Linked DNA regions of Neodiprion lecontei. The protein of the gene in region 1 interacts with the protein of each later gene in a biochemical or structural test. Links are inferred from orthologs where the notes say so. Each region holds a gene or a part of one and is shown in the gene's direction. Other genes may lie near its edges. The genes, in order: protein slit and roundabout homolog 2.

Evidence for each region.
Region 2: the proteins of protein slit (region 1) and roundabout homolog 2 form a complex in vitro, tested with the Drosophila melanogaster proteins (2 studies listed by BioGRID). The link is inferred for Neodiprion lecontei from reciprocal best matches to the Drosophila melanogaster genes sli and robo1.

The regions. Positions count from the first base shown.
Region 1 is NC_060265.1:21,800,674-21,807,312, reverse strand, and holds the start of protein slit, read left to right. Parts: upstream 1-2,748; 5' UTR 2,749-3,240; intron 3,241-6,639.
Region 2 is NC_060263.1:27,564,844-27,571,602, reverse strand, and holds the start of roundabout homolog 2, read left to right. Parts: upstream 1-2,782; 5' UTR 2,783-3,802; coding exon 3,803-3,863; intron 3,864-6,759.

The DNA.
Region 1 (6,639 bases):
GTCATTCGGCTAATTGAATACAGGTTTTTTTTTTTTTTTCGGACAAGTGAGACGGCGTTGTCCCGTCACGGTTTTCTATTTTATTTCACGTACACATATAAGTTCGGCCACGCTGTTTTAGGAACGCGACATGCGCTGACAGACGCGACACGTTGTCACGCTTTTTTCCCCCCGCTTGTTTTTACACTTCTTTTCCGAGAGCGTGCTACCCCGGAATCCGCAGGATATCTTTTAAAACCAAACAGCTGTTTTTTACCCAACTGTTTTCCCTACTTCTCTCGTCTTGGTTGCCCGTTTCCTTCACACAGCCCAGCCTCGTGCCCCAAACGAAACAAATTTGTCCTCGTACAAATTTTTTCCACACCCTTTTTTTTTTTCACTACCGAAGTGAACGATTGTTATCGTTACTCGTGTACATGTACGTATACATGTAAACTTACAGTCGACGCGACGCCTATAGGCAGGTGAAAGATAAACAAACGTCGAGTGTAACCCGAATTTCCTTGAATTTGGATGGAAATGTATAGATGAAACATGACCCCGGTAAATCAACGTTTTCCACGGACTTTGATTCGACAAAGTTTAGCTCGCAAACTCGATTTCCCTAACCGAGACGCCTCGTGTGTGCTTCGTTAAACGTGCGGTGTAACAATTCAGTTGTGCAACTACGGTATCCTGCAACAGGGTTTCAGATCCGTAACTCTGACGCGTAGTTCAAATTTAAATCCGGCACTAATTACAGCTGACACATGGCCAGGTAACGTATTGCCTTCGCAGTAAACACACTCATGCATAGAAATAACAACCTCCGTCCGCATAACTTGCACAATGATTCTAGGAAGTCCATTGTATAAACTGTTGGCATTACCTTTATCAATGCTCACACATAAGCGCGTTTAACGCAGAGCCGATACACGCAGCTTCGTGATTTCACGTTGTAAACACACACACACACACACACACACACGCGCACATCTGTATACAAACAAATAATTGCGGGCGGAGAAGGCAGATAAGGCTTAGTTTGATACAATTTCTGAATCATACCGCGACGGTCGGCATCGCGTTGATTTCATCGACATCGTCGGAACTTTGCCAAACAATATGAATAGGCGGTGTTTCCCTGTATCTGATCAGTGTTCGTGTAAAAATGTACATATACAACGCACGTTTATTTTCACAATGAAAGACCGTTCACCCCTTCGCTTCGCTCCGGATCGGTTCGCACAGCCTGCAACCCCAACTAGGGTATTACTATAAGGGTAGTAGGATCGCCTCCGGTGAAAATGTTTAAATCAGACTGTCCGTTGACGGGCAAAGGGCACCCTCCTCTGCTACGTGCAATTATAACTTTCATCACATTCAGTCAGATTGACTGGATAGGAGCGAAAAAATAGCGCTCTTGTGCTGTAGGCAAAGCGCGATGCTGAACGGGGCTGTGGAAAGGAGAAAAGGGGGAGGACGTCTCCATTGTCAGAAAACGAGATCTGGGAGATGTTTTTTACCCTCTTTACTTTTTCCTCTTTTTTGCTCCGCGGCAAGTAAGAAGATCGCGGAACGACTTTTCCGGCTCTCGCGTATACCGGGGGTTTAAAATTAAACGCTTTTCTCGCCTCTCGCGAAATCGCTTTGCTCAATCTTATATATACACATATATATCTATATATACATGAAACCATGGCTTTGCAGGTTATATATCGTTTACCGTATATCCGTATCAACCGAAGCTCAGTTAATTATCTACCAAGAGCTTGAATCTATCATGTTTGGATTTTACACACACCGAAGACGTGATCCCGAGCTTTGCGGGATAAAGAGATATATCGATAATCGCGGAACCCGGCTTTTCGTGAATGTTGGCAAACTGTTTCAAGCCTGTCATTGAATAAAGTAAAGTCTGTCCCATGCGTTTAACACTGTAGACTTCGCCTGCAGACGAGAAATAAAACATCATTGGGCGAGAAGAACAAAATTAATTCTTTCTTTAAAAACTATCTTACTGGCTTGTCATTACATTACTACGCAGTTGCGTATTTTTAAATTGAAAATATCAAAGGTTCGAAAGTTTCATTTCACTTTTGGAGCGTAATACTACGATTTCTGATTTCTTGTCAGAATAACAATCTTGAAAAAATTCGACAAGATCTATTTTGTTCTCAAATAAAAATTTCCTGCGTGCAATGATTTTCATCCAAAAAATTAATCGAACATTGCAAAAGTAATTGAAAATATTCGTTTTACATCTATTGTGAATCGGGAATACTCAAACTTTCACCGAATTTCTGTTCCAAACAATCTAACGATAAGCTGTCCGTTCGAAAATCAGGATTCTAAACAGTCTAGGAAAATTGTACATGAAACATCTCCACCGATTGACCAAACGTCGTTCCAATTAATTTTCAAAATTCGAAGAAAAACATTTTTCTCGTACAAAAACCCTCGCAATGAATTTCGGAGCGACAAAACGTCTTTTCAAATGTCACGCAGACGTCCTGTTTTCGCGTGAAATTTTTCTCGCAACGACAAATTCGCAAGAGGTTTAAATTCTGCTATTACAGATAGTGAAAAAGGGGGTGGACCAATAACGAGAGCCGCAAGTCCTGCAGCAGCAACCCTACGCGAGGGGTGCAGAGTGTACAGTGGCTCCGCCGGGACGAACGTCAGCGAGCGGAAGTCGGGAAGAGAGCCGCGCAATCTCTACTTCTGATTGGTCGCGGTAGTTGTTCGTGCCACGAGCCGTTCAGCAGTTGAGCGCGAGTCTCCGAAGAGTTCGGTCGCACTTCGTTTGGACCATCTCAGAATCACCGTGGTCGACAAAAGTTGCCCGAGCAGCAGTGACGATCCGATAATTTCGAATACATTCGAATAATAGTCGAGATTTTTCGCGGAGCGATCGGATCGGATCATCGTAGTGCGGTTGCGTAGCGAATTTCGTAATCGGGAGTAAATGGTAAATCGATTTTACAGCCGAGTGTTTTTTACGCGATAATTTACACGGCTTGATATTACTACGCGTATGTAACATGTGGTTTATGTTGTGATTGTGTTTTCGGTAAAAGTGCGCGTGCGGAGTTTTTATTTCTTTCTTTGACTCTTCGACGTAATTTCGTTTGTTCGGATATTTCGTTTACCGTTCGTCGTAGTTGTCAGGACTTATCTGGGTAAATACTTGCCGCACGTTTATGCGATCGTTTTGTTCGTCGCCGATATTTGTCGACCGCTGCACTGCAAGATCGATCGGTAAGTTTGAACCTAAAGATATTTTACGAGCGTATTTTCTATACAGTGTCAAGTCCTTTGGAACTTTCATTTCTTGTACCACTCAGCGGGTATTCAAATCACCCGCGCTCCTTATTCTGGAACCGGGTTTTCCGATGGCACTCTGCGAGCCCGCGAGTTTCTCTAGAGTTTTCGAAAAACTGTTGCGAAGGTATGTTCAATGGAAGCGCGCATCCGAGCCTTCGACAAATTTACTATTCAAATATCTCTCTCGTATTAAATCACTGCCTACTCGCACAGCGAGAAAAGTGTAAGATCTCCGAAACTCCCGATTGAAAGGAGGATCGGCGGCTTCGAAACTCGTCGAAAACTCGGTTTCGCAACGTCTGTGCTAACGATGACGATTACGATATCGAAATAGGCGGGATGAATCCTTTTCTTTTTTCTTTCTACTTCGTACGGATCGTAAATTCGTTGAAACTGAATCGCTAATTGCATCTGCAGGTTTCGTGACTCTGTAAGGATATTCGAATGTAAAGGGGCGGCAGTATCGCGGGTTGCTTGCCTTCCGAGTCGCTTTCCTTCCCACCTCCTTGGTTTTAATCTATGCAAATTTGGCGATAAGAATGCAAAACCTTAGGGCAAAAGCGTCGCGGTCGAATCGCCCTCGCACTAAAATATTTGAATAATACGGTGTCCCGAGTTATTGGTATTAATCGCTTATTGTTGAGATTGATAAGATCGGCTCGCGTGCGTTTCTCGAAGTAACAATTAGGCCCGTGACGTTTTTAAAATGGCGGTTGGAGAGAAGGAGAGAGGATCGCGATTTTCGCGGCCGCGTTACGCAATAACTCGCGTCCGCAGGTTCGATCCGCGCCATTCATTCTCCTCCATTCATCGCCGCACGCATTATCATTCCGCGTTTTTTACTCCGCGCGAGGTACGACTTAGCCGGCGGAGAAGTAAGAAGCAAAAGGAGCAAGTCGAGAATGGAAGGAGAATGAACGGCGAGGAGGAATGTAAGCGAGGCTGAGGGAACGGGAACGAGAGGAACAAGAACTCCGGGATCGTGGCAGCGAGACTCCGGTTTACGAGTCGTGATGCAGCCGCACGGCTCTTCGATTCCGAATGGCTCTTATTATGCGCGATCCTTTTCTTTCAATACGGCCTCTCGCGGTTCGTTTTTTCGCGATTTTAGCGCTTATTCGCGGGTCGCGTGTTTCCGCAATTATAACGCAAACACCGCATCGCACCGAAGTTAGTAACGTTGTCGTAACGATTCGTGCTGAGGAGAAACCGTCGATATTTCGGGATTTTGGAACTGTCTGAAACGCAGTAAGCCGTAATAAAGTGGAACAAGTTCATACTTCGAAATCTTAGTTCTTTAAACATCATTGTAAAATTAAGGAAATAGCGACTTTTTCCACAATGTTTCGTTGCGATAATGTTACCAACTTCAACCACGTAATTACCGCACCCTGCGAAACGTATAATCTGCGGGTCCAGAGAGACCTGAAGCAAAAGCTACATGCGGAGAGATTGGCGAAGGGTGAGAGAGACTCGCGAATTCTTCTTCGTCGCGGAACCTGCTCGACCGCTCCGACTGCACGTGCACGCTTTTTCCGCGTGCTTCAAAAAGAAAATGTTACGGCTTATCGAGAAAATTCATTCCCGATTATACCTGCAATCGCGATCAATATTGTGCCCGGAAATTTTATGCACGGAAAATAATAATCGATACTTGAAAAATCGTGGACAAGTCAGGCTACTCCGATGTCGAATTTTTGGAAAAAATTTAAGGTTTCATCACAGTTTCGGTAAAATACTCAACGCATAACCGAGTATGCTCAACTATCAGTTACAAGTGAAAGTTTGAAGCATATCGAGCAGATTACTAAGCACTTTGAAATAAATAAACTGTAATTTCTTATGGTTAATTACATTTTGTCGTTCATTATTTCAACGTCAACAGACTCGAGAGGTGTATATTCGAATAAAACCAATTTCGGATGAGCAAACCCCGGCATAGTCAGGGAATTTGACGATCCAAAATTAGTGACAACCGCGTCAGTGTTATCCTCCCGATTCTCCTCTGGCAGCCATAATAATTATTCCTCGAGTGATAGCGAGCTTGAGAGGCACGCTGCATAAGTGCGCGACTACCGCGGCATGTACAGGGGCTTTTAGGCAGCCGTGTGGAAGCGCGATTACTGATTAGAGTTTAGGAGCAGGTTTATTCTTGAGAGTAAATAAGTTAACGAGTATGTTTATACTCGCGTCAAGTTCTCCCAAGTACGCGCAATGCGCTTGCCTACCTCTACTTTGGACTTTGGAGGGTCAGGCAGCGTTCGTTGTAAGTGTTGCGTTTCGAATCGAGATGCCGATCCCCGGGCCCCAATTCAACCCGGACGGCACTCTCACGTCAAGTTTTCTTCTTCCTCTCGACTCGGAGTCCAATTGGTCGTTTGGACGAAAGTTACGTGCGCGTATCGCTCTCTCTATCTCTCTTTCTCTCTCTCGGACCCGTCGCGTCGCAATGTGCGCCCAAAATTACCCGCAACAAGATTTATCTCATTTAAATGAGGATGTGTACTATCCATAGGGCTAGATCCGACGTTGTCGCCTCTTTAAACTTTAGAGAGAGTGAGAGAGAGAGTGAAAGAGAACCACGTAACAGCGACGTGAACTGCGCTTGAAAGCTACGAGTGCAATGAAGCGTTTATGCAGCTCGTTGCACGATGCTCTCACAATCAGCTGTGTTGGATATCCAACGCTTACATAACCTAGCCGTTTATTGTTTACTTGGTAAAATAACCCCACCGACATTTTTACGACTCGAAATTACCCTGGACCGATTAACGTTTCTTACGACAAGATATTGCTGTCGTATATTATATGTATATACATATGTGTGTGTATATTTGTACGATAATTTAGCTGATGGATGTTGGTGAATTGGGATGATAAATTCTTTTAATGTAAAATTGCCGTATCTTCAGGCATTGCGAAAAATTTTTGACTCGTTTAACGTTTATACTGTGACCGCCGAAAGTCCTAGTTTTATTAAGTGCGGTATTTGAAACGGGGAAACACGTCGATTTGGCCCCTTTTTCAAACACGAGAGTTCATGTTCCCGCACCCTCGGTGTTTTATGATGAAATTCCTAATATTCATGCGATACCGTATTATACCGGCAGGAAGAGGAGAATTTTTTAGCCAGTTATGAAGGGAAGGGTTCGAGTCAATTTTGTGTCCCCCTTTCTTTCCAGTCTCGTCGTTGCAAAAGAAAAAAGAAAAAATAAATGGAGTAACAGAGTTGGAAAAACCTTCTGTATTATAAATATCTTAAATTCTTTACTTTCTAACATTACTTTTCGCTGGAATATATAATAGCTGGAAAATCGCGTTAAAAAAATTCAT
Region 2 (6,759 bases), on another chromosome or scaffold:
AATGAATTAGTAGCACTTGAGTCCGCAAGGATTACGCGCTTAATGAAAACCTGAAAAATAAACTTTCCACTTCTCTGCGAAGTTTTCTTTTTCTTTCACTTCTTTCTTTTCCTTTTTCTCTCTTTAAAAAGGAACAAAGAAGAAAAGAAGAAAGGACAAGAGAGGATAAACAGAAGGGAAATGAAAAGAAAAGAGAAACGTGACCCGCACCCCACAGATCCGCCGGCTTCTTCGACCTCCGTAAAATTATAACGCTCCCTCATCTGCAAGCTTCGATTTATCCATTCTGCGGCTGAGATCTCGATTCAATACTGATATCGGTTGGTCATTTTTCTTTTTCTTTTCATCTTCTTTTTAGAAAATTGAGGTTCGCCAATTTTTGTCGGCATAATCGATACTCTGTAATTGCCAAAAATAACAATCTGTACGATATTTCGAACGATACTAAATTTTTTCGGAAAGAACCATAAATTCAAGGTTGAAATATGCTACATAGAAGTTAAAGTAAGCTGTGATCGAAGATATAGTAAATTTGAATCGAAACAGAAGAACAATTTCGCAACGCTGGATAAAAATTTTCAAACCACGACTTTCATCTGAAAACGTAAGATCATTAATAATTTTAAAACAATCGCATTGTTGCATTTTTTTTTTCACGCAAAAACCATACCACTTATCCAATTCAAAGTATCATTGCTGCATAATTGAACTTTCCTCAAATCCTCTAATTGCAGCAACAATTTTTTTACCTACCGACGGAAGTAATCTCGAAAATATTACAGGAATATTATTCTGAATCTATAAAAAAAAATCCGAACTTTTTTCATTTCAATTTGGGGTTTTCGATCATTTTTCCACAACAGGGAAAATTCGTTTATTCTCAGTGAAATTGACAGACTTCAAGATACTTGTACAGTTTATCTTTGAAACCCCCCGATTCGAATCGAACCAATGAAAATATTCCCCTGATCGACGTTCGGCGATAGACGATGTTTCCGATTGCTTGAAAAATTTGGATCGATGGTTCGCGGCATCGGGAAAGTATTATAATAGGCGTGTGGGCGGTCGGCAAAAAATTTATTCACCCCTTTAGCTAAACTATTAATAATCGCTTATACGCGACTATGCGCTCGAACTACACAGACAATGCGTGTTAAATATAACGGGAAATATTTTGTCCGGAAGCAGGGCAACTCAGGTATACGTACACGGTGTGTATGTATATAATATATATATATATACATGGTACCTGCAGTATAATATCCGCCGATTAATCATCGAGGTATCGATTCGCGCGTTGTTTCCGTAGGGAAGTTCACCCCGTTTGATAATATGCCTCCTCCCCTGCATCAGCGCGAATTATTCAATACACCCTTCGGCCTTTTACTGTACCAAACTGAATACGGGCGCAGTGGAAGAGCCTGGATTTCTGGATCACGCGTGTTGCCGAGCCAATAGATTCTCCCGATACCGCCGCCGCTATTCGGGTCAGTCGCCATCAGCTAATACCTGGCAGATGTTTCGGCCGCGGCCTTTGCCGCGTAAGTAAACGATGATATATTACTAAATAATTGATTTACTATAGATTAACATAATCACATATACGAGTTTCGGCCCGATGCTCTCTAATGCACCGCGCAGGACCCAATTCGATCATTAAGAAAATCTCTCTCGTTCCTACCCGCCGCGTACATATAACTGTAATAAATTTCCGATCCTAAACGCGTTTCAGACCGTAGATAGAACTCACAGATATAAAAAAAAAAGAAGAAGAAGAAGAAAATATGGCGTGTGTGTGTTTGTGTGTAAAAAAAAAAAAAAAAAAAAAACCCGCTCTCAGATCTGAAAAGTCGGCCCCTCTAGACTTGCGATTAATCATTGATGTGGGCTTAATGATTTTCAATTAATGGTATTTCAGTATCTATACCTACCTGTAATAATGTCTAGCGTCAAAAAGATAATCTGAATAGCTTGGTGATAGTTTTTGACACGTTCAATCCTGAAATTCAAACTTTTTCATCCCCTGCTCGAATAATATATGTATGCATCGTTGGAATCTTAGGAGTAACTCATTCGTTTTTTTATCGTATTTTTTATACAAGCGTAAGCAATTCCATAAAAAATCCCATCTCTTCACTTTCATGTATATTACAGAAGGAAATAAGAGAAGACACATTGGGATTGTTAATCTAAGAACTGCTGCTGTTTGTGCTGGCTTTGGCTATAAAAAATTTCACTCCTAATTCCTTATCACAATTTCTCTGAAAATTTCCGTATTGTTTTATTTGACCCCTTCATTGCTGAAATAAAACCGCTGAAATAAAAAGCCGAACGTAAGAAATAGAATGATAAAAGAAAAAAAAAAAAACAACAACAAAAATCGGACACGAATCGTGAAAAACCGCGCGACCGAAGGAAGCAAAAGGCATGCGCAGGCGAAAGGGATGCCCGGTGAAAAAGATGAAGTCAAATGGAATATGAAACAAGGATCCATTGTGATGCTGGCGCGGTTCGTCCCGATTCTCTCTCTCTCTCTCTCCCTCTATTGTCAAGGCATAACCCACCCACTCGGTTCCGTCTCGGGACCCGCGATGTAATCCCGCGCCTCTCCCCGCGGGTGGCACGGGCGCGTGTGCGGCTCGTCGAGTCGAGGCGTCGCGACGCGGGTAGGCGGACGGCGTCGCGACGAGCTCTCGTGGGAGCCGAAGGTAGCCGAGTATCGCCGAAGCGGCGCGTGGCCAGGCGCAAGAATCTCAGCATCTGCAGTCGCGACTCGGCCGTCGCGCTGCAAGCATTGGCTCGTTGCGAGTTAAAGATCGCTCGAGGCGACAGCTTTTTGACAAGCGTTGTTTGTTGTTGTGCGCGGCGTGGTGACAACGGCGATTCGACGACCGGTCGAAACGATTATCGAGACTCGAGCCTCCTCGCTATGGGGAAGAAGAAACGGTTGCGGTGAATTTTTTTTTTTTTTTTCCCCATCCCAACACTCACCGCGGTTTTGCGGATATTTGAATTTAACCGCTTCGCTTTTTTCCCCGATCCCCGATCGATCCAAGATTCTCCGAGAGACTCCGCACGCCTTCGAACATGAGGAACTTGACTGTGTGAAATTCGTTTCTCAAACCGCGTGACGGTGTTTTTATCCCCTGTGAAGTTTGTCGCGTGGAGCGCAGGTTGCTTGTACCTAATTGTGGGTGGAAGGAGCGGATTCTTTGGTTATTCTTTCGTGCACTAGCGCTCTCCTTTAATCCTTCGATTTCAGTAGACGTCGATATCGGTGTTTCCATTTTTTTCACCCTCTCCCTTTTTCACCCGCATCGAAGAGGATCAAGAACCGGAACTTGAACTGTTTTCGAAATGCGAATGAAAATGAATCTTGAGGTACAGAGGGCGAATAAATAACTCGCTTGTTTCAACGGTGATTTTATTATGTGTCTGTGTATTATTACTTTCGTCGTTTCGCTTTCTTTCCGATACCTCGATTAAGAAAAAAAGAGAAGAGTAAAAAAAAAGTAACAAGAAAGAAAGAAATCGCGAACGCGAGGAAAACAGAATTCAGTGGTTGGTGAAAAAAAGTGCGAGACCGTAGTTGAAAAGTGTGTATCATACGAAAAGAGATTTAAAGTGATTTATATCAAGTGGTAGGGGGAAAAGAAAAAAAAAAAGAAAAATTAATAAATGAAAAAAGGATCGGAATGTAGTGCGTTTAGGAGTAAATCAAAACCCTTTGTTTTACTGATTATCATTTCCCCGTTTCTACGCAATTATTATAAATAAAGTGGTGCTTTGGATATCGTCGAAAATGCGGCCCGAGGACAGCAGGTGTCTGATTCTTCTGACCCTTTTGACGGTCGCGACTAAAGGTGAGAATTTCTACTACAGAAGTCCTAAAAAATGAAAAGAAATGAAAAAAAACCACACGTATTCAGGGAATTGGAGTTTGACCATCGATACGCGAGTCGAGTAAAAACACGTCCCGATACCCAAATTCGAGGAAACTTTTTGTCTCGCCAACTCTCGGGTACGAAGTTCCAAGAATCGGCGGCCTGAATGAACGAAACGATTTAGAACTGTATCGAATCGTTTGTACCGAATGAACCATTCTCCCTTTTGGTTCGCTGCTCGTATCCGGCGGACACTCTTTTCTTTCGACAAACTTTTAATGTAACGGTATACGTACAATTTTATGAAAGACAGTCATTTTGCAACATTCAGATTGCCTCGAATTTCGTAAACCGTAAACATATGCGTCCCTTGTAAATTTAATCCCAAATTCAATTCAGTAATTGCGAAATAACGAATTGTTCTCCAATTTTTTTGTTACAATTACGTTACCAACTTCTCAGGCTGAAGTTTGTAACGTTATTGTAATGAAGCATCTTTCGAAAAACTCATTGTTTTGCGATTTTAAAGGATTACCTGAAATTTAAGAAACCGTTAATAAAGCATGAACAAACTCAGATTTTGTAAATTTAAATTCCACAGTTATCCTAAAGGTGCAAAATAATCATTTTTGTTTCAATGTTTTAATACGGTAACTTCAGTCTCGCACTAACTTGAACGTTGTTCAAGAAAAATCGTTATTGTGTAATTTTAGGATTGCATTAACCGTCTGAAACTCATTAAACCGTGTGACGATCCAAAATTATTCGTACTTTAAACATTCAACTATTTCATATAGTTATTCCGAAATTGAAAAACTATCATTTTAGTTTCAATGTTTCATCAGGTTCACGTCATTAACTTCAAGTCGTCAGGATATTACTATACATTTCAATAAATAAAAGGGACCATAAAATTCACTTACTTCGTTGTTTTTTGTGATCATATAACCCATAGGACTCTGTTCTGAACAATCTTCTTCAATTTCTTCCATATCCTCTTTGACTTTTTCTCAGTCTTCTTCTTGTTTCGTACGTGAATTGCAGGGGGACACGAAGTTGTGAATAATGAATCATAATCCACATAATAGCGAACGACGCGACGGGAGACTAACTCGAAGGCACGTAGTTCTTCCGATCCTCTGTAATACCGTATCACAATCAGTCTCCCTCTCATCGCATCTCTCTTCATCCTACTCTCGATTTATATTACAAGTTTCGATACATGAAAATTTCCCCCCCGCGCATTGTTGGTAATTGTGCAGTCACGAGCTTTACGATACTTTTTTTAATTTGAAATCGCCTTTTTTCTCTATTTCTGAAACTCTCAAGACTTTTGAACTTCATATTTTCGAAATCCTAAAACTAACCAATTTTTTCACAAGATTTCAAGTTCCAGACGAGGAAAATTTATTATCACAATGTCAGCCTCGGGTGAAAAGTTTTTCAAATACATATATTTATATATATATCTATACTCAAATTGCACATGATTTTCTTGTAACAATCGGTCGAAAACTGAGGATTTATCCGTTTTCTTTTTTTTCTCCTTTATTCTTGTATCAGCGATTGGCTTGCGAGAAATTAAGAGCACGAATAGATTGCAATAAAAGTGTCGTCTACGATTATTTCTGGGCGTTGAACGTTAACGCGGCTAAATCGTGATTTTTGTTGTTCGTCCGTCACCATCGAGTGTTAATTTTTTACACCGTGTACCAAATACAGGCATACCGAGGTAAGAAAGATGAGACGATTTCTGTACCTTGAGGGTGAAAGGATCGATCGATACTTTGATCGATCACTTGTTCGAGACCCGTAATCTGGCTACTAATCGAAAACGTGCAAGGCAAATTGACAACTCACGTATAACCACCATACGCGTCCGTTATTCGATCTCGTCGCGGTCCCGGAACACCTCTCGTTAATATATTGAAAGAAAAAGAGGTGAGAAAAAAGAGGCGTGAAAAAATTGAATTAACCTAAAAATCCAAATAATTCTTATCCGCCTCTCCATTTTTTTGGTAATCGTTTTCTCGAGTAAGGAACATATTTTGTGTCCATGAACTTTCAAACGTTCAACGAACTTTATTATTATTATAACCGGCTGCGTTACACACGAAACGCCGATATGGATTATTATATTCCCTCGGGCATTCGTTACACATGTATATCCTATACGGAGTGGTTATCGTCTGAAGACAGCCTCGTTTATACACAAGATATAATATTCCGTATGAATGCTATCTCCCTACTCGAGTATTTTCATCGTCGTTTGAAATCCCTGACCAATGAATTATAAGAATAAGAAGAAGCTGCTGCCCGGGACCGTCTGGTAATTGATACAGACTACATAATTTAAGCTATCTCTTAATTTACGTACGTGCTTATAGTTTTCCCCGACTCTCCGATCTTCTTGTAACTGCGTATACCGTCATAATCGCATCGTAATTTACGCGTTCACCGAGTGTCCCTACGTCTGTATTACACACGCGTACGCATATTACTGTATACAATAATAATGTGTGCAGAATTCGCGGCGTTGCAGCAGAGCCACTCGACACGACTCGTAACTCGAATTATATGTACGTAGCAGTTGGGGCATAAGGGCCAACGCCAGCAACTATGCTCTACAATAATTTAGCCATTATTATCCAGTAGTCAGCCCTTAACGTCCTGAATTTCGGTGTTCAATTCTGCGGGACCAGTTTCTAGCCGTGTGTAAGCATGCGTTTATATACGCGTTTAGTCTACGAAATTCTATGAACATAGCTCATTGTTAGTGATATTTCTATTCTTGTGGATACATACCGTCCGTGAACGTTGTCTAGGTACATCGTAGGTACCAATAATAGTACTTTAGTTAGATAACGCGCAACGC